Stegostoma tigrinum: one gene and its partner. The protein of the gene in region 2 purifies or fractionates together with the protein of the main gene of each other region. This does not show direct contact. Links are inferred from orthologs where the notes say so. Each region holds a gene or a part of one and is shown on either strand. Other genes may lie near its edges.

What was found.
Region 1: the proteins of kpnb1 (region 2) and importin subunit alpha-7 purify together in Homo sapiens (affinity purification with mass spectrometry; 4 studies listed by BioGRID and IntAct, with this or other methods). This does not show direct contact. The link is inferred for Stegostoma tigrinum from reciprocal best matches to the Homo sapiens genes KPNB1 and KPNA6.

What each region holds. Positions count from the first base shown.
Region 1 is NC_081377.1:47,829,228-47,836,526, forward strand, and holds the start of importin subunit alpha-7, read right to left. Parts: upstream 3,001-7,299; 5' UTR 2,899-3,000; coding exon 2,895-2,898; intron 1-2,894. UniProt on the Homo sapiens protein: Functions in nuclear protein import as an adapter protein for nuclear receptor KPNB1. Binds specifically and directly to substrates containing either a simple or bipartite NLS motif.
Region 2 is NC_081384.1:5,015,227-5,022,514, forward strand, and holds the start of kpnb1 (importin subunit beta-1), read right to left. Parts: upstream 3,006-7,288; 5' UTR 2,707-3,005; coding exon 2,652-2,706; intron 2,533-2,651; coding exon 2,474-2,532; intron 1-2,473.

The sequences.
Region 1 (7,299 bases), on a different chromosome or scaffold from region 2:
TCCCCCTCACGCCACCCCAGCCGTCCCCTTCAGCCCACTAGCAACCCTCCCATCCCCTCACCCTTCCAGTCCCTTCACACCACCCCTGCACCTCCTGCCCCCTAATCCACTCACCCAGCCCCTGTACCTCCCATTCCCTCACCCCATGCCTCGTCCCCGCCCCGACCCTTCACCCAAATCCCATCCCCTCACCCCACCCCACCGTCCCCGTCCCCTCATCCCAGTCGGCCCATGCCCTGCCCACTCGGCCCGCACCGCCTCCCGTCCCACCCCCGGCCCCTCCCCCCCACCCCCTCCCTCCCCCCCCTCCCTCCGAGCCCTCCCCGCCCTCCCCGCCCCACCTCCCTCCCAGCCCTCCCCCGCAGCCCTCCCTCCCAGCCCTCCCCGCCCCACCTCCCTCCCAGCCCTCCCCGCCCCCTCCTCCCTGCCCCTCCCTCCGTCCCCGCGCCGCCCCCACCCTCTCCTCCCCGCCCCGCCCGCCCACCCCTCCCCGCCCCCCTCCCCTCCCCGCCCCCCCGTCCCCGCCCCCTCGTCCCCGCCCCTCCCTCCCCCCCTTCCCCGCCCCCCCTTCCCCCCCGCCCGCCCCCCCTTCCCCCCCGCCCCGCCCCCCCTTCCCCCTTCCACCCCGCCCCCCCTTCCCCCCTTCCACCCCGCCCCCCCTTCCACCCCGCCCCGCCCCCCTTCCACCCCGCCCCGCCCCGCCCCCCCTTCCCCCCCGCTCCGCCCCCCCTCCCTCCCCTCCCGCTCCGCCCCCCCTCCCGCTCCGCCCCCCCCCTCCCCGCCCCCCCTCCCGCTCCGCCCCCCCCTCCCTCCCCTCCCGCTCCGCCCCCCCCCTCCCGCTCCGCTCCCTCCCCTCCCGCTCCGCCCCCCCCTCCCGCTCCGCCCCCCCCCCTCCCGCTCCGCCCCCCCCTCCCCGCCCCCCCTCCCGCTCCGCCCCCCCTCCCCGCCCCCCCTCCCGCCCCCCCTCCCGCTCCGCCCCCCCCTCCCGCTCCGCCCCCCCTCCCGCTCCGCCCCCCCCTCCCCGCCCCTCCCGCTCCTCCCTCCCCTCCCCTCCCGCTCCTCCCTCCCCTCCCGCTCCGCCGCCCCCTCCCTCCCCTCCCCTCCCGCTCCGCCCCCCCCTCCCTCCCCTCCCCTCCCGCTCCGCCCCCCCCTCCCTCCCCTCCCCTCCCTCCCCGCCCCCCCCTCCCTCCCCTCCCCTCCCGCTCCGCCCCCCCCTCCCTCCCCTCCCCTCCCTCCCCGCCCCCCCCCTCCCTCCCCGCCCCCCCCTCCCCTCCCCGCCCCGCCCCCCCCTCCCCTCCCCCCCTCCCCTCCCCGCCCCCCCCTCCCTCCCCGCTCCGCCCCCCCTCCCCTCCCCGCCCCGCCCCCCCCTGCCCCCCCCTCCCCTCCCCGCCCCGCCCCCCCTCCCCTCCCCGCCCCGCCCTCCCCTCCCCGCCCCGCCCCCCCCTCCCCTCCCCGCCCCGCCCCCCCCTCCCCGCCCCGCCCCCCCCTCCCCTCCCCCCCCTCCCCTCCCCCGCCCCCCCCCTCCCCTCCCCGCCCCCCCCCCCCCTCCCCGCCCCCCCCTCCCCTCCCCCCCCTCCCCTCCCCCGCCCCCCCCCCTCCCCTCCCCGCCCCCCCCCCCCTCCCCGCCCCCCCCCCTCCCCGCTCCGCCCCCCCCTCCCCTCCCCGCTCCGCCCCCCCTCCCCTCCCCGCTCCGCCCCCCCCTCCCCTCCCCGCCCCGCTCCGCCCCCCCCCTCCCCTCCCCGCTCCGCCCCCCCCTCCCCTCCCCGCCCCGCTCCGCCCCCCCCTCCCCTCCCCGCCCCGCTCCGCCCCCCCCTCCCCTCCCCGCTCCGCCCCCCCCTCCCCTCCCCGCCCCGCTCCGCCCCCCCCTCCCCTCCCCGCTCCGCCCCCCCCTCCCCGCCCCGCCCCCCCCTCCCCTCCCCGCCCCGCCCCCCCCTCCCCGCCCCGCCCCCCCCTCCCCGCTCCGCCCCCCCCTCCCCTCCCCGCTCCGCCCCCCCCTCCCCGCCCCGCCCCCCCCTCCCCTCCCCGCCCCGCTCCGCCCCCCCCTCCCCTCCCCGCCCCCCCCCCCCTCCCCTCCCCGCCCCCCCCCCCCCTCCCCTCCCCGCCCCGCCCCCCCCTCCCCGCCCCGCCCCCCCCTCCCCGCCCCCCCCTCCCCTCCCCGCCCCGCCCCCCCCCCCCCTCCCCGCCCCGCCCCCCCCTCCCCGCCCCGCCCCGCCCTCCCCGCTCCGCCCCCCCCTCCCCTCCCCGCTCCGCCCTCCCCTCCCCGCTCCGCCCCCCCCTCCCCGCTCCGCCCCCCCCTCCCCGCTCCGCCCCCCCCTCCCCGCCCCGCCCCCCCCTCCCCTCCCCGCCCCGCCCCCCCCTCCCCGCCCCGCCCCCCCCTCCCCGCCCCGCCCCCCCTCCCCGCCCCGCCCCCCCTCCCCGCCCCGCCCCCCCCTCCCCTCCCCGCTCCGCCCCCCCCTCCCCTCCCCGCTCCGCCCCCCCCTCCCCTCCCCGCTCCGCCCCCCCCTCCCCTCCCCGCTCCGCCCCCCCTCCCCTCCCCGCTCCGCCCCCCCCTCCCCTCCCCGCTCCGCCCCCCCCTCCCCTCCCCGCTCCGCCCCCCCCCCCCTCCCCGCTCCGCCCCCCCCCCCCTCCCCACGTCCCGTCCACCTCGCCCCCTTCCCCTCTCCCCGTGTCCCGCCCCCACACCCTCACCCTTGCCCCCACTCCTCCCGACCTGCCCCTACATCTCCTGTCCCCTCAACCCATCCCTGCCCCTCCCGTCCTGCCAATTCTGCCTCGACTCCTCCCGCAACCCCCACCCCTCCTGTCCCCTCACCCTCAACCCACCACAACCCTTCCCTCGCCCCCGAACCCCCTTCCCTCGCCCCCGAACCCCCTTCCCTCACACACACACTTACCCATTGTCGGTCCTCACTCCTGCCTGACGGTTGTTGTTGTTATCGGGGCCGCGCGGCTGTTTCCAGAAACAACTCTGATCCAAGATGGCGGCAGCGCGCGGGGGCTCGCGGGGCCTTGGCTCCTGCAGGCGCGCGCAAATTGAAAACGGCAGCTTCTGCTCTCCGCCCCCACCGTTCACAGCAAAACCAGTACCAACTGTCTCGGATGAAGGGTCTTGATCTGAAACGTCAAACTTTCCTGCTCCTCTGATGTTGCTTGTCCTGCTGTGTTCATCCAGCTTCACACCGTGTAATCTCGGATGCTCCAGCATCGGCAGGTCCTACTATCTCTGTACCAACTGTCTATGTCACTTTTTATACTCTGTTTCACTCTCTGTCAGGAAACTATAACCAGAAGGAATCCATTCAGCTCTTGCAGGGTGGTCTATCGTCCATCAAGTTAATTTTTTTTAATTTTACAAAAGAGATCAGCTTCTACCTGTCACGTCTGTGCAGCTCGCTCGTGATTTTGAAAAACAGTATCAAATCTCCTCTTAAGATAATAAAATGTGGAGCCGGATGAACACAACAGGCCAAGCAGCATCTCAGGAGCACAAAAGCTGACGTTTCGGGCCTAGACCCTTCATCAGAGCTGGTCTAGGCCTGAAACGTCAGCTTTTGTGCTCCTGAGATGTTGCTTGTCCTGCTGTGTTCATTTAGCTCCACAGTTTATTATCTTGGATTCTCCAGCATCTGCAGTTCCCATTATCTCAAATCTCCTCTTAACCTTGTTCTCTCCAATTATAACACCCCAACTTCTTCAGCTTATAACTGATTTTTCTCATTCCTCGAATGATTCTTGCAAACTGAATGACCTAATTATCCTATATCTTATGATGCCCTGGTCTTATTTAACCTTAAAAGTTTCTCCCGTGTTAACCTTACCATCTTTCTCTGATCATAATTCGGCTGACTTACCTATTATTTCTTGTTCTCCGTTATTGCACTGTCTTTGACATTCAGTTAGTCACTTAGTACACTTTTCTAATTTGCAGGTTTTTAAGAAGCATTCCCCAATGGTAGTGGTCACCAGCCAATGAATTCACTAAATTTCCTGCAGTGTTACTCAGTTGGAGGGGGTGAGTCCAATGCTACCCTCAATTTCCTTTATAACCATGTTTGGCTTGTCCCCTTCCTAGAATTGTTCTGTCTGACTGGGACATATCTTTCCTGCAAATCATGAGCTATTTTCTTAAATGTCTGCAAATGTTTCTTAATTGTTTTGCTTTTATACCTCTTACACAGTCCACTCCAGCTAGCTTTGCTGTCATTCCTTGTAATCACCCTTATTTAAGTTTGGCACAGTTGTTTGTGACCCAAGTTCTCACTCTCAAACTGAATGTTATAGTTACTGTTTCCTATCAATCTATTACCCTGACCTCATTTATTGTGAGATTTAGATTCACATGCTCACAATCACAGAGTCAGTGGAGTCAAAGTCTTAGAAACAAGTAACCTAAGCTTTATTACAAGTCTGCAGAATCAGGTGCCTCCCATTGCCTGAGACACACACAGGCCAGGGAGCCTCCTCTTTTTATACATCATTTTTCCAGCCAGATCCTCCCCTTTTGGCTCCGTCCAATCTGAGCTCCAAGGTGCACAATCTTCCCGTTACTTCCCTTGTCCCACCCCCTTCATACATCGCATGTTATGTTAATTAAGCAGCTTCGCAAGCATGGGCATAAAAGTTAATATGCATTCTCTCATTAGGCATGCACTTCAACTATGTCTATTGTGCAAAGCTTGACCTTTTCACCCTCTGGGTGTCTGCTAGTAGTTTTGGACCAGTTCATTCTGGTTTCTAACCACTTGGCCCTCACCTCCTTTTCTTATCACGGCTCAGTACTAGATGTCTTTTGGTTCAAAGCTGAGTAATTCTTTTCACTGCAGTTTAATCATCCTTATCTCTCACAATCCACCCTTTTTCTTTTTGCTATGCATCATGATTAAACTGCACCTTGGGATCCCGTCCCTCGAACGCCCGGAGCATCCTCTGAATCTCTCTCTGCTGCATACTATCCTCCGATTGCAGAAGCCTTTGGCGGTGAATCTGGGTCACCCCTTCAAGGGATGTCATCAATCGGCTCAATACACATTTCAGGACATTGAGCCCCACCACCAGACCCACTAGTATCAGCAATCCATAAATGGCCAATTGACCAGCCACCGGTCAATCCCCAATTTCCCCATTCCCATCCTTTTTCGTTCCGGTACTTGTTACCGGCTTCCCTTACTTTGGCGATCTGGTCTCGCACGTGCTGGGAGATATCAGTAATATTTGGGGAGGTGTCAGGTATGTATGTACAACATTCTACCCCAATTAGTGCACAGGTACCGCCCTTTTTGGCTGGAACAATGTCTAGAGCCATCTGATTTTGAAGAGCCGTTAGCCTAGTGGCAATCGGCTCAGTGGTTATGGCCTCCACCCGGGATTGGGTATCGGCTAAAGCATCAGAAGTGTCGTTGGCCAACTCCTCCAGAGAGGCTGCCAGCTTCTGCATCTCTCTCCCTGATCGGGCAGTCCCATACATGGGTAACAAGGTCCAGAGGAGACAATCCCCCTCAGTTACTTTTCGGAGGTTACGTCTCCCTCCTCCTTGTCTCTGGTTTAGCTTAGGGGCCGCCCCAGGAGTCTCATATGTGGAACCAAATGGGCTAGGTAACAACAGCCACTTCATCCCTTTTGATCATGGGGCAAGGATCTCCCTCACCCGGACCCCTCCTCCCCTTGGTGTTGGTGCATGTCCCCGGGTAGATATGGATACGCCTTTTATGGCAAACCCAGCGTGTCCCATTCAAAACTTGGGGTAGGGTGGTGTCTAAGGCTAGAATGTTTAGTTTACAAGACAAATTCCCCAACTGGAACGGGGCTCTATCATTCCAGTTACAGAAACACGTTGAGTTAACCTGTCCCCCAGGTGGCGAAACTCTGAGACCGTCATTTGCACCTTGGGTCCCTGGGGCCGGCTGAGGAAACCATCCCTTGAAACTATAATTCCCCTTGCTCCTGTTCCACCTTCCCCAACGTGGCTACCAATTCCCGTGACTAGAATTCCATGCACCCCTGACCGATTCCCACGTATCATTTAAAGTGGAGGCAAACTGCAGCACCTCGCCTATTTCTTCTTTGGTCAGAGGAATTCTGGACTCCCCATGATGTGGGATTGCAGCACACACCCAGCAGTTGGTGCGCCCCGTTTGTCTAGCATAGTTTTGACATAAGCGGTAAAATGATTCTTTCCCTCTCCCCAGGCTACAATTAACAATAAAATAACAGTACAGTGTAAACCCTTCATTTTATCTTCTTCTTCAATTTTAACGTCAATGGGTTGTTCCCCTCCCGTGCCTCCCACTCTTCCTCAGCTGGCGGATCCACTGGTCCCTTTATCTGTGCTGCATGCGTCCACCCTTTTTCTTTCGTTCAGACTGCTGTCTCTGTTGTCAGCAGCACCAGGTATGGACCAGTTCACTGCAGCTGGAGTTTTTCTTCCTGCCACGACTTGACCAGAACCCAGTCTCCCGCCCTGATCGAGTGGATAGAAAAATCGAGAGGAGGACTCTGCGCCAACAGCCCTTTGGCCTTTAACTCTGTAAGGGAACGAGAGACTGCCAGTAAATAGTTCATTTGAAATACATCATTACCTTCAATAGTGGGCACCCCTTCTATCTTTCCCACGTATGGGAGCCCGAACAACATCTCGTAAGGGGACATCCCTATATCTCTGCGTGGAGCGGTGCGTATCCTGAGCAGAGCTATCGGCAAACATTTAGTCCAGGGAAGCTTCGTCTCTGCCATCAATTTTGTTATCTGAGTCTTTAGAGTGGCGTTCATTTGTTCGACCATTCCCGAGCTCTGTGGGTACCATGGTGCATGTAACTTACATTTCGTCCCTAAAGTGTCACAAGTCAGTTCATGTGTCCTGGAAGCAAAATGTGTTCCACAATCTGAGTTTAGGGACTTTATTATCCCATACCTGGGAATCACGTGTTCCAAGTGAATCTTGGCCACCACTTGGGACGTGGCACTGACGGCGGGAAAGGCTTCCACCCACCTGGTAAAGTGATCAACTATCACCAACAGGTACTTCCATCTCTGGACGCTGGGGATCTCAGTGAAATCCACTTGTATTCTTTGGAACGGTTGAATTGCCAATGGCTGTCCCCCTCCTGGCATGGCTGTCATCACTTTCTTATTTATCTTCTGACAAATTATACATCGAGAGACCGCTTGCTTTGCCAGAGTGAAGATCCCCCTACAGGCATACACCCGCAAGAGAGCATCACATAATGCTTGGGCTCCCCAGTGCGACTGTGAGTGCAGTTCTCCCAACAGTTCTCTGGTGATCTCCTTGCTCAACAGCTGTCT
Region 2 (7,288 bases):
ACTATTCCAAAGTGGTGTACAATACTTGTCTTTTTCTAGCACTTATTCAAGCAGGATTTCGTTTTTATGTCCCATCTTCTTCTAATATCACATGCACTTTTCAAAACTTTTACTCACCTTTCTTCTTGCTATTGATTCCTAAACAGTTTCCAGTGGCTACAAAATTCCTTAAGCTGTATTACATGGTCCAGCTGATTGAATTAACCAGCTCAGTTTTAGATCTGATTTGATACAGGATACAGTGTCTGACAGCAGGTAAATCTCTAAAGCCAGGATCTGATAGGAAGCCCCTCCATATCATACCTAAGCTTAAGTCAAGCCTGTATTTTTTTTAGTTGTTAGGTTTTACTAAACGTGCAGGAAAAGGCTATGAAAATATAGCTAATTTTTCCAAAAGCTGACAGTTTTCAGAAATTCTGCAATCTACAATTTAAGGCCATACAATTAGCCAAATTAATAAGTGGTAAAACACTACATACAAAGTCAAATGTACTTCCAAAGAAATGGCTTGAAATTTGCAATTAAAATAATTAGAGATTAAAATGCAATTTACTGCTATTTCTACTGACTTCAAAGCAATTTTAAGTTTCCAAAATTACCTGATTTACACACATTAAGTAACCTTGTTTAAAGCAAAAGATGAGAAATCATTGTCAAATGTGCAAATCCACAGTAACCAAAAAAGCACCAATAACCTTAAATAGGATGCAACAGAAAATCTCTAAAGAAACAAGCTCAAAATGCACGTGGTGACCTGCTAAAATAACTTGCATTTGGATTTAAAATATATTAAGATACATCTATCAAATTTAACAATGGTGCAACCCTAGTTAACCTATAAAATTTTAACAGTGACTAGACAAGATAAATGCAGGATGTTCTTAATAACCGTGAGTCTTGAACCAATGGTCACAGCTCAAGGATATGGAACTCCCCACTCAGAACAGAGATAAGAAATTTCAGCCAGAGGATGTTTAATCTCATGGAACACACTACCACAGAAGGTTGTGGAAGCCAAGTCATTGAGTATACTTAAGACAGACAGATGCTTGATTAGTAAGGTGGTCAGAGTTACACAGAGAAGAATGATGTTGAGAAGCCTATTAGCTATGATAAAATGGCAGAGCAGACTCAATGAGCCAATGGCTGAATTCTACACCTATATTTTAGGTTCTACATTTCTTCAACCAGAATGCAGTGAACTCTGCCACAGAAAGTAGTTGAGGCCAAAATATTAAATGTTCGAGTAGTTAGATATAGCTCTTAGAGCTAAAGGGATCAAAAGCATGCAGAAAGCAGACACGGTACCAAACTGAACAATCAGCCACAATCATACTGAATGGTGAAGCAGGCTCAAAGGGCCTGTACTTGCTCTTATTATCCATGTTTCTAAAAGGTTGAGGGAAGACTTAAATTACAGTCTATTGAAATACTTTGACAGTAGAAAGGAAGGTAGTTCTATTAGGATAGATTTGAAGCAACTGTCAAAAGAATTAGAGAAAGGTTGACAAGAATTGTTCTTCCATCAAGGAGCTAAGCAGGACCTCAAACACCATCTACTACGTTATAAGCAACTGATACCCTGAATGCATCAAAAAACTCAGATTTACACCCTAAATAGTGATCTACGTAGACCGAAACTGGGATATGAGCGAGGCTGTTTTCATTTGGTTCAAACCTAGAGGGCTAAACGGCGTCCCAGCACGTCTTAATGCGTTACAAATTGATTAACTTCCACAAACACCGGTTAAATAGAAACTTTCAACTGGTGTTAACCAAATGAAAAGATTACACGATAGCAACCCAGAAGAAAGCCAGACACATGATATCAAAACCTAAATTGTGCAAATCTTCAGGCTATTATTGAAAAAGAAATAATGCTTACGACGATTTAAACGCAGGGGTATAAAGGGCATAAATTTATCAGATAGCATAATGGATCCAGGCCTCCCCAGCCCCTCCATGCGTGGGGTAGGCTGTTCTCTCTCACACATAGGGAGGAGAGGATGAGCCGGCAACATGCGCTCAGGCCTCGACTCCCAGCTTCCCTTCCCATCAACCAAACTTGCGCAGAGCGGAAACCCAGCCTCTTCGGGGCGTCCTCATTGGCTAGCGGGCATGCCCACCGGCAATCTCCGGACTCTCATTGGCTGTCATGCCTTGTCAATCAACCGGGGTAATTCCTGCCAGCAAGTTAGGCTGTCATTTTTTTTCACTCCAGTTTCCCCCTCCCCCGCCCAAAAGGTTGGGGGGGGGGTGGGGGAGAAGAAGAGTAGAAAGGGGGAATTTTCTCAATGAATGCCCTTGATTTCCCTCCATTAAAATGGATAAAAAATTTTCCATCTTAAAAATCAAATAGCCAACCATACTCTCGCATCAGCCCACGCACATTTTTTTTTAAAAAGCCGAATTAGATCAAACCATCGCCCCCTTTACCCATTCAAAAAAAATGGAAACAGAATCCAATACTGACCAAATTCTCAACAGCCGCCTGTTCCAGAAACTTCTGCGCTGCTTCCAGCTCATTACGATCTGGGGAGGAGGGAGAGAAAAGAAAGAAAAGGGCGGGCGGGAAAAAAAATAATAATACAGTTTTAAAATACCACGAAAGAGAAAAATAATATTACTCCCTCTCCCATTAGACGCCTTACCTGGAGAGACGGTTTTCTCTAAAATTGTGATAAGCTCCATGTTAACGAATCTCATGTGGGAAACAACGAGGATTTTTCTCAGGCAGAAACGGCCATAAATGGTTCTGGGTCACTCAGATTCTGCTTCCTTTTAGAAAATATAACGTACATATACACCGCGGTGAGGGAAGATTAAAAAGAGCGATAGATAGATAAACAAGGGGTGGCAGCGTGGAATTTATTATGGATAACAACAGATATGCTGTATATTAGTGACTGTTTTCTCTTTCTCACTCGCTAATAACCAGAGCGCAAGCTTCTCTCACGCCTTCGCCCGGCTCCGCAGCTGCGCAAAAGCCGAGTGCCACCGGCGGCGGAGCGATATAGCAGCGGCCGCGCGCGCTGCTCCCTTCGCAAACTGCCGCTCCCCGTGACGCGCCTCCCCATTGGCCGAATCATTCACGGCGCACGTACCGCCGCTTCCATCTGATTGGTCCGTCTGTACGTCAATCGCCGCGAGCCATTGCCAAGTGGCCGAACCCCGCCATTATCACTGCTTCACCCACGCCTTCAACAGCTGCCCGGCCTGTCTAACAGGAGCTCCCATTGGCCCGTGACCGCCCAGGCGAGCCAACGCCTAATCGGATTGGTGGGTGTCGCCAGACGCAGTACACGCGCGCGCTTGTTCCGCTTTCCCACTGGCCGCCTAGCACTATCTAACGCGGTTTCTCATTGGCCAATCGTGCTTGGATATCGAACACAATCCCCGATTGGTAATGTCTTTACACACCGGCCATCAGTCATCCTATCTAACACAATCTCTTATTGGTCCATGACGCAAGTGCCGGTAAAAGCAATCGAATGCCACTTCTGATTGGAGGATAGCGCTGAGTGCATCACATCCTTTGAACGGCCGCCGTGTGTTATTTTACGCGACCTTCCACTGGCCTATCATTCCCATCCTACTGCTTATCTAAAGAGACTCTTGATTGGTTAAGCAGAGATGCTATAGCTCTTCAACGGCCGCTGCCTGATGCTATTCAAGGCGTCCTCTGATTGGCTGAGCGGCTGTAGCCTCTGTTGAAGGCCGAATTTCGAATTGGAGCCGATGACCCCTCCCTCCCGTCCTTGAGACCGTTTTCGGGGGAGGGTTATGTCTGTACTTTTCCCACTTGACTCCGCCCAGGGCCTGCCTCCATCCTGGGACACTTGGTCCAGTTTTACTCTAAATTCCGGGGGGAGGGGGCATCGGAGCGTCTCCTCCGCCAATCAGACCGATCGCATCGGCGGGAGAGAAACCTCATTTTCAGTGGAAAAGCTTCTGCACGAAAGGAGCAACCGGCGTCCGGAGAAAGTCTTTATTTTTGTGTGCGTATGGGTTGCCTTCGGCGCCTAAATTCAAAGGGGGTGCGGTTGACGAGGTTAAAAGTTGAGGGCACTACTTTACGGTGGCGAATGGAGATGCGGCTGTTGCTGATGAGTGAGGCGGTTCTGGTTTGTATTTCCCGCCGTTTCCAGGGAAGAGAGCGCTGCCGTTTGTATTGACCATCTCCACTATCTATCCCAAAAAAACCAACTCTACTCAGCATTGTAATGCTGCTTTCTGAAACCACGAATCACTGCAAACATTTCTCTCCTCTTTGCATCCTCCGAGCTGCTTCATAAGGTGTATTTAATGCAATAGAAGGAGAAGGATATTGGGGGTGGACTCGTGTGATAGTCACCTTGATTCCTTGACTGGAACATTTCGAGGCAGATTTTACTTAAGGATCTTTCCTCATGTAAGGGGGTCGAAACTGTTCAAACTATTCTAGGTATGACTGATTCGTGCTGTATAACAGTCTTTTGTGCTGCGAATTTGTGTTTAATGCTCTCCTACAAATAGCAGAACTGTAACTGCACGCTGCCAACACTTATAAAGATCCATCCATCGTTCAATGCAAAGATGGTGGAAGCAGATCTAATAATAACTTAAATACGAATTCAATGCATACTTAAATGAAGAAAATATGCAAGGAATTAATTTAGTTGGAGAACTGTGTTTAAAGAATTGGCATTGCATAGTGAGTCAACCCTGCTTGGGAGGATTTTAAAATCAACCCAATGAGATTTGAATCACAAAAAATCCAGCTGATTTTCCCCTTACCCAGATTGGAAGAATGAAGCACCATATAAATTATTGAGTTTTTTTTCTCCCATTGTGCTCATTCACTACTTCCTATATTTGTTGCGTTGTGGTACACCATTTCAAAGACAGTGAATTGATGACATTTGGCTCCAGGTGCAGAAAGACTGTGATTATGAACATAATGGAAGGAGGCAATGGGATCCCTTTAAACAATTAGCTTCTTATATGCTCAAATGGATATTTTTCCAGAGTGCTTCGGAGATGATTACATTTGTTGATGCCATGTTGGACCTGAGAAACTTTAAAAAATGATTCATTGCAGTACCATCCATTGACATTTTTAACAACAAAAGCAGAAATTGCTGGAAAAGCTCAGCAGGTCTGGCAGCATCTGTGGCAAAAAAAAATCGGAGTTAAAGTTTTGGGTTGAGTGACCCTTCGTCAGAACTGTTTTGATTTACAGCATCTGCAGTTCTTTCAGTTTTCATTTTGATATTTTAACAACACTTATTGTTGGTAGAACAGCCCATGGTGCTTCAAAGGAGCATCATCAGACACATTTAATGCTGATTCAAAGGCAGTGCCAGACAGGTGATCAAAATCTTGGTCTGTGTGGTAGATTTTAAAACACTGGTCAGCAGAAAAGGAATTCTATAGTTTAAGATCTGCTCAACTGAATGCACATTTGACAATAACAAAAACAGAAATTTCTGGAGAAACTAAGCAGGTCTGACAGCTTTACGGAAAGAAAGCAGAGTACATTTTTCAGGTCTGGTGACTCTTGCATGCTAAAGAAGCTTCAGTGGATCCAAAACATTATCTCTTCTTTCATCCTCTACAGATGCTGCCAGACCTTCTGAAGTTCCCCAAAGTTTTTCATTTTTATTTCAGATTTTCAGCATCTGTAGTTCACTTGATTTTTGTTTGCATTGACGATAATACTGGGCCACGTGGATTGGGTTTGTAGAAAAAGCCAATGTCAAACAGCACGAGGAACAGGATCCTGGAGGGAACTTAATATAATGGTGTGAATTTGAAAATTGGGGCATTCTTGGATTAGAAGCCAATTTAAGTGCATGACTGCAGTGGGCGAGTATGACTTGCTGCAGGTTGTGATTGTTGAATATTTATGGCACAGATGGAGGTCTTTTGGCCGATCGTGTCTGCACTGGCTGCCCAACAAGCAGGGAGTAGTTTTGAATGAGCCCACAGTTATGGAGGGAGGCCAGTGTAGAGTGTGCTGAACCAGTTAATTCAGAAGAGAATGAAATGAGTTTTAACAGCAGATAAGCTGATGCATGGTGGAGGTATGGGTAGCTGGTCTTTATTGTTGATACAGTGCAAAAACTTGTGGTATAAGTGTGTGCCACATAGAACAGTTCACATCTTATCTGACTGCTGGCTTTATTGCCTTCGCCTCCTCTGTTTAGATTACAATCAACATTAGGATACGGGATAAAAGCAGAAAATATTGGAAAAGATCTAGCAGCATCTATAGAGGGGATCAGAATTAATGTGTCTAATCTGTGACCTTTCAGCTGACCTGAAATATTAATTGTTTCTGCTCTGCATGTGTTGCCAGAGCTGTTGAATATTTTCAGCAGCTTTTCTTGTTGTTTCAGATTTTTAACATCTGCAGTATGTTGCTGCTCAAAATTGGGCCTCTACAGCACCTGGGTAGAGATTTCAAAATATTCACCCTCGCCTTCTACTTGATCAAGATGTTCTACTCATCTCAATCCTGACAGCGCAGAAGCAAAGATGTTAAAATGTATTAAGATATTTTTAAAAATGGTATGCAGAAGAAGATGGTGTTAGAAGAATATGATCAAGTGAGGGCTGATCATGTTATAATCTAGTACCAAAACAGAAGCAATGAAATGATAACTGTGCAAAAGAAATAATAAACCTGGACCAGTAACACAAATACTGGCTACAAACACAAGTCATAGGTGGTGTATTTTGCAGCAATTGACTCACCTGTTCCGTACATCACATACCTGACTTGTTTTCTGTAAATGATGAAATACTCTCCGATTGTCTGGTACTCATAGTTTCTGTATCCTTAACTCTTTAATTCCAATTTATGAAATCATTTATATAGGTGCAAGTGCTTTTCATTCTTGTAGATCTTACTTCCCATAATACAATTGCCTTTTTTAGACAGGCTATCTTAAAACCTGGTATGCTAGGCCAATAAGGGCTCCATAAGAGTGTTTCAATGTTGAGTTAAGGAGGACGAATTTCAAACATTTACCACACAGAGGAAGGCCAGTTAGCTCATCATGTTTGGCAGCCAGAAGAAAGCGGTCAACTAATTTTCTAGATTTTGGTTGGTAGCCTGATAGGTACAGTACTTCAAGTGAATATTCAAATACTTTTTAAATGCAATGAGAATTTCTCCTCTCCCACCTTTCTAGGCAGAATTATCACTCTTTGGGTGGGGGAAGAAGCCACGATCATGATATATAGTGGAGCAGGCTTGAGGGTCTGAATGGCTTACTTTTCCTTTTTTTTAAAATATTCTTAT